3 linked regions of the Xenopus tropicalis genome follow. The protein of the gene in region 3 binds, or shares a complex with, the protein of the main gene of each other region. Links are inferred from orthologs where the notes say so. Each region holds a gene or a part of one and is shown on either strand. Other genes may lie near its edges.

Region 1 (3,474 bases), on a different chromosome or scaffold from region 3:
TGTGGCTACTAAAGCAAATAAAGTGCTGTCTTGTATAAAAAAGGGCATTGACTCAAGGGATGAGAACATAATTTTGCCCCTTTATAGGTCCCTGGTAAGGCCTCACCTTGAGTATGCAGTGCAGTTTTGGGCTCCAGTCCTTAAGAAGGATATTAATGAGCTGGAGAGAGTGCAGAGACGTGCAACTAAACTGGTTAAGGGGATGGAAGATTTAAACTATGAGGTTAGACTGTCGAGGTTGGGGTTGTTTTCTCTGGAAAAGAGGCGCTTGCGAGGGGACATGATTACTCTGTACAAGTACATTAGAGGGGATTATAGGCAGTTGGGGGATGTTCTTTTTTCCCATAAAAACAATCAACGCACCAGAGGTCACCCCTTTAGATTAGAGGAACGGAGCTTCCATTTGAAGCAGCGTAGGTGGTTTTTCACGGTGAGGGCAGTGAGGTTATGGAATGCCCTTCCTAGTGATGTGGTAATGGCAGATTCTGTTAATGCCTTTAAGAGGGGCCTGGATGAGTTCTTGATCAATCAGAATATCCAAGGCTATTGTGATACTAATATCTACAGTTAGTACTAGTGGTTGTATTTATAGTTTATGTATGTGAGTATAGATTGGTAGGTGTGGGTTAGGTGTGCTGGGTTTACTTGGATGGGTTGAACTTGATGGACACAGGTCTTTTTTCAACCCTATGTAACTATTTATGGGAGCTGCCACACTGCTGCTGCGTCTTCTGAGGCAAAATGAAATCTTCACCATTGGCATTAAGGAAAGCAGTGCACCACCAAGCTGTCAGCCTGTCGCAGAAAGGGTAGAATGACTGCTAGGATTCACAATAAACTTGTAACCTAAGCATTCCTCAGGCTTGGCACTACTCTTGTTTTGTCTGACAATAAGCACCACTGCTGTCCTGTCCCAAAGCTTAGTGGTCACTATATAATGGTCACTTAACAAAAGAGCCCCAGAAAGAAATATGCCCTATGCGTGTCCTAATTGCTGTACGCCTGCTGTTTCTCATGCATCTGTTGCATTGTACCATCAGCTGGGGGGCTACAGTTTACATATACAGACGCCATATTTTCTCAGAGAAGAGTATAGCTTATAGAAGAGGGAGGGACATTTTCTTATAGTAAAATTATGGCTGAGGAAAAAAACTGCCTAAAATTAGTCATCATCTTTTGCCATAGCTTCATTGCACTCCTGCTATGCACTTTAATTAATCTGCATGCAGCCAGAGGGCCCTGTGGGATAGCACCTAAGCAAAGCTCTACTACACTAAAGAGGACTTTACCCTCTCAGTGCCAAGAAGGTCCGGGGCAACTTTTATAGTGCACAAGTTAAAAGGGTTTTTTAGGTTACTTATATTATTTAACCTGCAGTGATAGTGATTGTGGCTTTCTGTATTGAGAACACTTTAGTATTTGAAACATAGATTGTTTTTTTTTTCTATTATAAGACGTACAACTATACATATAAATAGATTTTGCTTCTTAAAGCCTTTACTTTCTGCTTTAACAACGTTAATGCTTCACAGTGCAGTGCTGTGGCTTTGTTTACCACAGGTTTTTTTTTTTAATTCCGGTGGTTTGCAGTTCATGTTAAGAAACAAGGATTGTTTATCTGTCTGGTTCTCACTTCACTTTTGTGATGGACTTGTTTTATATTTCACATTGCAGGAGGCCTATGTGCAGAAAATGGTAAAAGTCTGCAATGACTCTGATCGATGGAGTCTAATCTCCTTATCCAACAACCATGGCAAAAATGTGGAACTCAAGTTTATGGATTCTTTGCGAAGGCAATTTGAATTCAGCGTTGATTCGTTTCAGATTAAACTGGATTCTCTTCTGCTGTTTTATGAGTGTTCTCAGAACCCTATGACTGAAACTTTTCACCCAACCATTATTGGGGAGAGTGTCTATGGGGATTTCCAGGAAGCCTTTGATCACCTTTGTAACAAGATTATTGCCACCAGGAATCCTGAGGAGATCCGTGGAGGTGGCCTTCTCAAGTATTGCAACCTTTTAGTAAGGGGATTCAGGGCAGCTTCTGAAACAGAGATGAAGTCCCTGCAGAGGTACATGTGTTCTAGATTTTTCATTGACTTTTCAGACATTGGTGAGCAGCAAAGAAAGCTGGAGTCTTACTTGCAGAACCACTTTGTGGGATTAGAAGACCGCAAGTATGACTATCTCATGACTCTTCATGGTGTAGTCAATGAAAGCACAGTATGCTTGATGGGCCATGAAAGAAGGCAGACTTTGAGTCTAATCACCATGCTAGCAATCCGTGTCTTGGCTGAACAAAACATCATCCCTAATGTGGCTAATGTAACTTGCTACTATCAACCAGCCCCATATGTAGCAGATGCTAACTTCAGCAATTACTACATTGCCCAAGTTCAACCTGTTTTCACATGCCAACAACATACATACTCCACTTGGTTACCTTGTAATTAAGACAGAGTAAACGGTTATTAGGAGGAAAATGTTTCTTACACTTACAAAAAGGGGGAAACCGAGTTATTACAATGGGGTGCTATTTTGTGCAGTCATAATCTGCCCTAGGTTTGAATCTTTGTGAAGCTTGTGGTTCATGTGGTATACATGAGTGCAAGGCCTAAGCTAGAAGATTGTAATTGGGTTAAGCCCAAGAGCACAAGCAGCCTATTATGTTAGTGATCACCTCCCTTATTGCTTAAGGGATCAAATGGTGAACAAAAGTACAGGCTGGCAGTCCAGCTCTGTTAATATTTGAATTCAAAAAGGTTGATTAAGTTTCATGAAACTTATGCAAGGAAGTAAAAATTCTGACCGAAGGATTATTTTTGGATTTGAAACAAGTACCCTCTAAAAAACAAAGAATAACTGTTTGGTTGCAGGCAACCCCTATCCAGGGAGAATGGCACAGTTGCAAGAAATGATAAAACAAAATTGTGAATACATCATTCATATTTCATAGATGTGAATGTGAAAGAGTTTAGTGGTAGAAAAGAGATTGCTTGGACCAAAGATTTCTTAAAGATATATACCCTAGTCAACTGATAGAGAAGAGCATATGTGTGTACTTGTTACCTTACTGTATCAAAGTGCCTGTTGCCTTCATAAAATTAGGAAAATATTAGTTTTTTGATAACATCATTGACACATCTATTTTAGGTATACTAGGTAAGATAACATTTTACATTTGTGAAGCAGTGAAGTGAATGCCCTATTTTCCTTGGCAAATATTATATATAATATTATAAATATTATATATATTTATATAAAGAAGTTGCAGAGAGTAGATGTGTGATTAACATGGACACTCACAAGGATATATCAAATATGATTCAGCTAAATGTAGCATTTAGGAAGAGTTCATAAATACATGGGTTAGAACATTTGTACAGTACAAGCCCTGCAAATATTTCCTTGTCCACACCTGGCTATTATGTTTAATAAACCTTAAATGTTAAATCACCAGTGAAAAAGCAACCT
Region 2 (3,653 bases), on a different chromosome or scaffold from region 3:
GGCCTCTCCCTGCAAGGGGAACCCCTCAATACTAGCTAGGGCAGTCCTGCCCTGCTTTATGGCTGAGATTCTAGCTATCTGTATAACAGAGCATTCTGTCACAGTGGCACAGATCCTATCTGATCCCCCCATTGTAAGCAGCAGTCCTGCCCTGCTTTATGGCTGAGATTCTAGCTATCTGTATAACAGAGCATTCTGTCACAGTGGCACAGATCCTATCTGATCCCCCCATTGTAAGCAGCAGTCCTGCCCTGCTTTATGGCTGAGATTCTAGCTATCTGTATAACAGAGCATTCTGTCACAGTGGCACAGATCCTATCTGATCCCCCCCATTGTAAGCAGCAGTCCTGCCCTGCTTTATGGCTGAGATTCTAGCTATCTGTATAACAGAGCATTCTGTCACAGTGGCACAGATCCTATCTGATCCCCCCATTGTAAGCAGCAGTCCTGCCCTGCTTTATGGCTGAGATTCTAGCTATCTGTATAACAGAGCATTCTGTCACAGTGGCACAGATCCTATCTGATCCCCCCATTGTAAGCAGCAGTCCTGCCCTGCTTTATGGCTGAGATTCTAGCTATCTGTATAACAGAGCATTCTGTCACAGTGGCACAGATCCTATCTGATCCCCCCATTGTAAGCAGCAGTCCTGCCCTGCTTTATGGCTGAGATTCTAGCTATCTGTATAACAGAGCATTCTGTCACAGTGGCACAGATCCTATCTGATCCCCCCCATTGTAAGCAGCAGTCCTGCCCTGCTTTATGGCTGAGATTCTAGCTATCTGTATAACAGAGCATTCTGTCACAGTGGCACAGACCCTATCTGACCCCCCCCCCCCCCATTGTAAGCAGCAGTCCTGCCCTGCTTTATGGCTGAGATTCTAGCTACTGATTGCAAATGTAGTGTTAAATCTATTGTTGCACGGTTGTAGCCTTCTGTTTCCTTTCTTTGCGGAGTTTTCGTGGCCTCACAAGATTATATGAGAGTTCCCTTTAATGCTATAACTATTGCCCAGTAAACTCCCCCATTCCTATGAAGTTGCCCAGAGCAGTCTGGGAGGATTCTGGCCTTTCCCTTGGATAAGATCTCGGTTACAACAGCCGAGTTGACTTTGAACAAGGTACAAGTGGTGTAAAATATACGATAATAAACAGATCATCTCTGTACAGTAGCCCCTGCCCTGTAACTACTACTGTGTGCTCTGCCCAAGGAGCTGCGGCTCTAAATTGCATCTTCGTTCAACCTGCTATAGTTCCAGGGGTACCCAGGGCACAAATAAGCACTCACCCCAAATCCCCCCCTAACTGGCCTTCAGGCTGGGCCCCCTTAGCCCATAACAAGGTTACAGATATATAGAAACATTGGGGTAACAGTCACCCCGCTATAGTTCCAGGGGTACCCAGGGCACAAATAAGCACTCACCCCAAATCCCCCCCTAACTGGCCTTCAGGCTGGGCCCCCTTAGCCCATAACAAGGTTACAGATATATAGAAACATTGGGGTAACAGTCACCCCACTATAGTTCCAGGGGTACCCAGGGCACAAATAAGCACTCACCCCAAATCCCCCCCTAACTGGCCTTCAGGCTGGGCCCCCTTAGCCCATAACAAGGTTACAGATATATAGAAACATTGGGGTAACAGTCACCCCACTATAGTTCCAGGGGTACCCAGGGCACAAATAAGCACCCCAAATCCCCCCCTAACTGGCCTTCAGGCTGGGCCCCCTTAGCCCATAACAAGGTTACAGATATATAGAAACATTGGGGTAACAGTCACCCCGCTATAGTTCCAGGGGTACCCAGGGCACAAATAAGCACTCACCCCAAATCCCCCCCTAACTGGCCTTCAGGCTGGGCCCCCTTAGCCCATAACAAGGTTACAGATATATAGAAACATTGGGGTAACAGTCACCCTGCTATAGTTCCAGGGGTACCCAGGGCATGTTTGGGATAAGCCCCGGATCAGAAGGCTTTAGTACACGCCCGGCCATATTGGTTGGGGAATTCTGGCTCTGGCTGTTTGGACCTTGCTCTTTCCACACACTTTATCATTCGCTAATCTGCTAGTGGGTCACATACCTGCGGGGCACGGGGCGACCTTGTATTACCCTGTTAGTAAACGGGTGGGTGTAAAGGAAATCAATTCCTAAAATACATAGCCGCTCTGACCCAGGAGCCTGCTGGGGGCAATTGAGCTCTTGGACAGCGGCACCCCACTGACTGGTGGGTGGGGGGTTAGTATTTAAGACCCTTACAAGATGTGCCCCATCCCTTGTACTATTCATGCTCTTCACTGTTGCACCCACAGGCACAGGTGCTCTCTGGGTGCTGCTGCTTCCCCCCCCCCCCCCCCACCTGTGGGTGCTGTGAAAGTGCTGAGTGCCTGAGTTTCCCATTTTGAAATGACTGTCTGGGTTTCCCCTGGTTTTGGACACCGCAGTCCTGTCAGTAGTGTGCATGGCACCCAGGGAAGAGCAGATGTAGTACAGCCCCCAGATATATCTGCACCCCCACTATTGCCCCCCCAACTCACATCTCCTTCCCTCTCCCACCCAGGTATCCATAAGCAACCCAACTCCTGCAATGGCAGAACAGAAAGGCAACAGCTCCGATGTCTCTTCCAAATCCCGCAGCGTCCTGACGTGGGAGCAAGTCAGCCGCCTCAACAGCTTCCTCACCGAGGTGGTTCCGATCCACGGCCGCGGCAACTTCCCCACCCTGAAGATCACGCTGAAGGACATTGTGCAGAAAGTGCGCAGCCGCCTGGAGGAGGCCGGCATCAAGGTCCGCGATGTCCGACTCAACGGCTCGGCTGCCAGCCACGTCCTGGTCAAAGATAATGGACTTGGGTACAAAGACTTGGACCTCATCTTTGGGGTCTCCTTGTCCTCCGAGGCGGAGTTCCAGCTCGTCAAGGACGTGGTTATAGGTTTGCTCTTGAACTTTCTTCCCGAAGGGGTCAACAAAGAGAAAATCAGCCCCCTGACTCTCAAGGAGGCCTACGTGCAAAAGCTGGTGAAGGTCTTCACCGACGCCGACCGGTGGAGCCTGATCTCCCTCTCCAATAAGGACGGCAGGAACATCGAGCTGAAGTTCGTCACCTCCATCCGCCGGCAGTTTGAGTTCAGCGTGGACTCCTTCCAGATCATCCTGGACTCGCTGCTCTTCTACCACGACTGCTCTGAGAACCCCATGTCCGAGCACTTCCACCCCACGGTGATCGGGGAGAGCATGTACGGCGACTTCGAGGCCGCCTTCCACCACCTCCGGAACAAACTCATCTCCACCAAGAACCCGGAGGAGATCCGAGGCGGGGGGCTAATGAAGTACAGCAACTTGCTGGTGCGGGACTTCAAGCCGGCCGACAAGGAGCAGATCAAGTCGCTGGAGCGCTACATGTGCTCGCGCTTCTTCATCGACTTCTCCGACATCTTCGAGCAGCAGCGCAAACTGGAGTCCTACCTGCAGAACCACTTCATGGGCGAGGAGAAGAGCAAGTACGACTACCTCATGATCCTGCGGCGGGTGGTCAACGAGAGCACGGTGTGCCTGATGGGGCACGAGCGGAGACAGACCCTCAACCTCATCTCTCTGCTTGCCCTGCGGGTACTGGCCGAGCAGAACATTATCCCCAATGCCACCAACGTCACCTG
Region 3 (3,653 bases):
AACTAATCTCCCCGTGTGCCAGAGCCCTAAAACAACTGAACCGCTGTTGTTACTTATAGAACCAATTAGTAGTTAACATGTTTGGGTTTGGTTCAGTTGAAATAGTGAGGGGTGATAGTGGATTCGTTGCAAGCTTTTGTTTATGTTACGATATAGCCTCAATGGATACATATGTAACCTCAGGATTAATGGGGAAAAACTTTATTTTTCATTAGGTTCATGGAGTTCGTTCCCCCGTACTACTTCAGCAACCTGCCCCCTAGTGAGACTAAAGAGCTCCTGCAGCAGCACCAGACTGTGCCCAGTTCCCCGGCTGAAGAGCCCGGAGAAGAGGAGCCCCTACCTGATGCCGATGATGAAGGTGCAACAGAACAAAGATGCATTATACAATGACCTTGGCTAATAGAGAAAACTCCAGGAGTGCAATACATGTCCAAAAGGAAAGGAAAACTTTAATGAACTGATTTCTTTTTTTGTAAATGTTATAGGAATCCGAGTAACCCTTTTCCTCCCCTCCCTGTGTCTGATCAAATAAATGATATAGTGAACCCTGTGTTGTACTCTCTCCCTGCCGGGGACTGAACGCCTGCTCTAAAGGGACCTTGTCTTTAATTACACTAATGAAATCTCCCAGAACCCTTGCGTGGTCTCGCCGGAGCCGACAGCGGATACAAAAGATGAAATGAATGACTACGATTGTACGCGCACGTTTATAAAAATTAATTAGTCTCTATGATGTTATCGGCGTTCGGGTACATAGTTCTGTTTGGAGGGAAACGGTTCACACGGAGAGGTATTCTTTGAACTTGTCCATGATTGAATTCATCCTGTCGGCGGGAACCAACATCACCGTCCTCAAGGGTTTCATGGGCACGTCGGAGAAGGACCATCGGCCGCCCAGCTGCGTGTCGCTCTCCTCCTGCACCGAGTAGCTGAACTTCAGCAGAGCTTTCTGCACATGAAAGAAAGGGAAATATACAGGTAAAACGTTCATTAGCAGGGAACAAGGTTCTCTTTCTAGAATAGCAGGAGCTAACCTTCACACTTTGCAGCAAGCTAATATATCTGCACTGATGGGAACATAAAACATCCAAAATTAAATCTGCCTAAAGTGCTCCGCTGAGCACTTTGCAGTTCTTTTTCATTGTCATTTTTATGGGGCCTCCCCCTCCCTTTCCCTCGGCCGTCTGATAGCAAGCAGTTAAGTGAACACGCAGGCACCTTTGGCATATTTAACTTCCCATAAGCCCCTTCACAATCTAATTTGGTTTCTTTATACTATTTAGCAGTTCGTATCACTCCCCTATTGATAAACTATGCTACCTTGGAGCGAGTTTCCCCCATCACTAGGATGACCCACTAGGATACCAGGGAAATTCCCCAGGTGTCAGTGTCTTATGAGCACAGCCCGCTGATACCATTTCTTTGTTATAAATTAATGTAAAGTGCTGTGAAACGTGCTGGCCCTATAGAAATGATAGATAAGTTCAGCTTTGTATAGGTGTCCCATGGCCAATCCCTCTACGAGAGCAAAGATGAGAAATGGAGGAAAGACATAAATATAGTATGGAGAGTGGGCCAGCTATCTAAGGTTATCTGGTGGGGCCCCTAGCACCCAGTCCAACACTGTCCTTCATAGACCCCTTAAAGAAAAAGGAATGGTACAATCACTGGGAGGGGGGGGGAGAGCCTCCTATGATGATGGCATTCAGTTGTCCCGTTCTCTGAATGCCCAGCCATCCAAAGAAATGAACAAAATGGGCATGCAAAGAACTGAATGCCAGGGGTGCATAATCTATGTTAAGATACAGATATTAACAAGAACTAAAGATTTGGGGTGGAAGAAAACAACCTATTACAATCAGCCAAATTTTGAAAAACCTCCCCACTAAACCCTAGATGCCAGCTTCCACCCTACACAGAAACAAATGTGCCATTCCTGCTGGGCACAAAGTGGTGCCTATAATATATGCCTCATAGGCCCTTTACAGTTAGTTTGGGGTTTTTGGGTTTTTTTTTTCTGGGGTCAGTGACCCCACACAACCATGTTTGGTTGCTGAGGGTAAGAAAGATAATTTTTTGAAAACCATAAAAAATAAGGAACAAATCAAAAGACGTTTAGAAAAGGGCCATAAATACAATGCCACGTGTTTATTTAAAGGAGAAGTTCCCCTTCAACAAAAGCCAATGGGATGCAGGCTAGGCCCCGTTACACAAACAAGTTAGAGATGACAGGGATCTCTCTGGACACGCTTTAAAATGTTAATAAAGAGCCAGAATCCCAGCTGTTTCCTCAGGTCTGGCTGAGATAAAGTAATTAATAAGCTCTAATTATTACATTCTGTATCTAAAGTGCAAGGTTGCAGAGCCTTCCTATATCAAGTTATCAGTGTGCACAACTAGGGAACCCTGCGATACATTGAAATATACATATGCAGTTTTAATTAAATGAAATTGAGCGTGCAGTAAATGGACGAGATTCTCCTCTCGCAGAAATATGCTGTTATAAAGTGGATTTTATGCCTATATTAAAAGCCGGTTTAATGGGGTGGAATACTTCTCTATGGTTGAAAGGCAAAGTGAGATATTGCTAGCATCCCGTGATAAAATGGAAAGTTATTCCTCTACAACGCAATGCTGGAAGCCCCAATGTCCTTGTGTAGGAACTGTTCTGGCTCTTAAACCATCCTTTATATATATATATATATATATATATATATATATATATATATATATATATATATATATATATGTGCTTTAGGAATAATATCACTACATAATGGATAGACGTATGTGTTGTTCAGGGGGTGAGAAGCAAAAATCTTGTTACTGCACAGGAATCTGTGAAATGTTTTGTGACCTGAGAAGTCATGCTATATCCCTAGAACCGAAGTTCTAGAACAGAGAAAGGGAACTTGTGGCATTTATGGCATAACAGCAGTTAATGCAACAGCAGCATTTTTAGAGTTCTCTGGAGAACTCTGCTTCACGGACCCTCTTGCTCACCCCAGCTCTGCAGAAATGAGCAATACAGAAGTCTGCTATATTGCCCCCCTTGCCTGTCCCTGCTCTAGAGAAGTCTGCTATATTGCCCCCCTTGCCTGTCCCTGCTCTACAGAAGTCTGCTATATTGCCCCCCTTGCCTGTCCCTGCTCTAGAGAAGTCTGATATATTGCCCCCCTTGCCTGTCCCTGCTCTAGAGAAGTCTGCTATATTGCCCCCCTTGCCTGTCCCTGCTCTACAGAAGTCTGCTATATTGCCCCCCTTGCCTGTCCCTGCTCTAGAGAAGTCTGCTATATTGCCCCCCTTGCCTGTCCCTGCTCTAGAGAAGTCTGCTATATTGCCCCCCTTGCTGGTCCCTGCTCTAGAGAAGTCTGCTATATTGCCCCCCTTGCCTGTCCCTGCTCTACAGACGTCTGCTATATTGCCCCCCTTGCCTGTCCCTGCTCTAGAGAAAACTGCTATATTGCCCCCCTTGCCTGTCCCTGCTCTAGAGAAGTCTGCTATATTGCCCCCCCTTGCGGGTCCCTGCTCTAGAGAAGTCTGCTATATTGCCCCCCTTGCCTGTCCCTGCTCTACAGACGTCTGATATATTGCCCCCCTTGCCTGTCCCTGCTCTACAGACGTCTGATATATTGCCCCCCTTGCCTGTC

What was found. The genes of interacting proteins can lie anywhere in the genome.
Region 1: the proteins of bccip (region 3) and tent5a are in contact, whole or in part, in a crystal structure (PDB 8EXE), measured with the Homo sapiens proteins. The link is inferred for Xenopus tropicalis from reciprocal best matches to the Homo sapiens genes BCCIP and TENT5A. Residues at the interface, in NP_510868.1 of Homo sapiens: Val57, Asn58, Ile59, Glu60, Phe61, Glu62, Ala63, Tyr64, Ser65, Leu66, Gln146, Val149, Leu150, Phe152, Cys153, Glu154, Lys155, Asn156, Cys157, Glu158, Lys159, Glu163, Lys167, Leu203, Ala204, Ala206, Thr225; in NP_060103.2 of Homo sapiens: Arg87, Gly88, Asp139, Glu151, Gln155, Lys158, Lys184, Glu185, Val188, Gln189, Lys190, Met191, Val192, Lys193, Val194, Cys195, Asn196, Asp199, Trp201, Asn213, Arg289, Lys295, Glu331, Arg334, Gln341, Asn342, His343.
Region 2: the proteins of bccip (region 3) and tent5c are in contact, whole or in part, in a cryo-EM structure (PDB 8EQB), measured with the Homo sapiens proteins. The link is inferred for Xenopus tropicalis from reciprocal best matches to the Homo sapiens genes BCCIP and TENT5C. Residues at the interface, in NP_510868.1 of Homo sapiens: Val57, Asn58, Ile59, Glu60, Phe61, Glu62, Ala63, Tyr64, Ser65, Arg136, Gln146, Cys153, Lys155, Ala204, Gly205; in NP_060179.2 of Homo sapiens: Asp90, Asp92, Glu102, Gln106, Arg109, Lys135, Glu136, Val139, Gln140, Lys141, Leu142, Val143, Lys144, Val145, Cys146, Thr147, Asn164.

What each region holds. Positions count from the first base shown.
Region 1 is NC_030681.2:89,016,589-89,020,062, forward strand, and holds part of tent5a (terminal nucleotidyltransferase 5A), read left to right. Parts: intron 1-1,674; coding exon 1,675-2,454; 3' UTR 2,455-3,474.
Region 2 is NC_030678.2:2,829,548-2,833,200, forward strand, and holds part of tent5c (terminal nucleotidyltransferase 5C), read left to right. Parts: intron 1-2,556; 5' UTR 2,557-2,583; coding exon 2,584-3,653. UniProt on the Homo sapiens protein: Catalyzes the transfer of one adenosine molecule from an ATP to an mRNA poly(A) tail bearing a 3'-OH terminal group and enhances mRNA stability and gene expression.
Region 3 is NC_030683.2:25,046,589-25,050,241, forward strand, and holds the end of bccip (protein BCCIP homolog), read right to left. Parts: intron 953-3,653; coding exon 782-952; 3' UTR 433-781; downstream 1-432. Other genes in the region: putative pre-mRNA-splicing factor ATP-dependent RNA helicase DHX32, read left to right, coding at 216-393. UniProt on the Homo sapiens protein: During interphase, required for microtubule organizing and anchoring activities. During mitosis, required for the organization and stabilization of the spindle pole.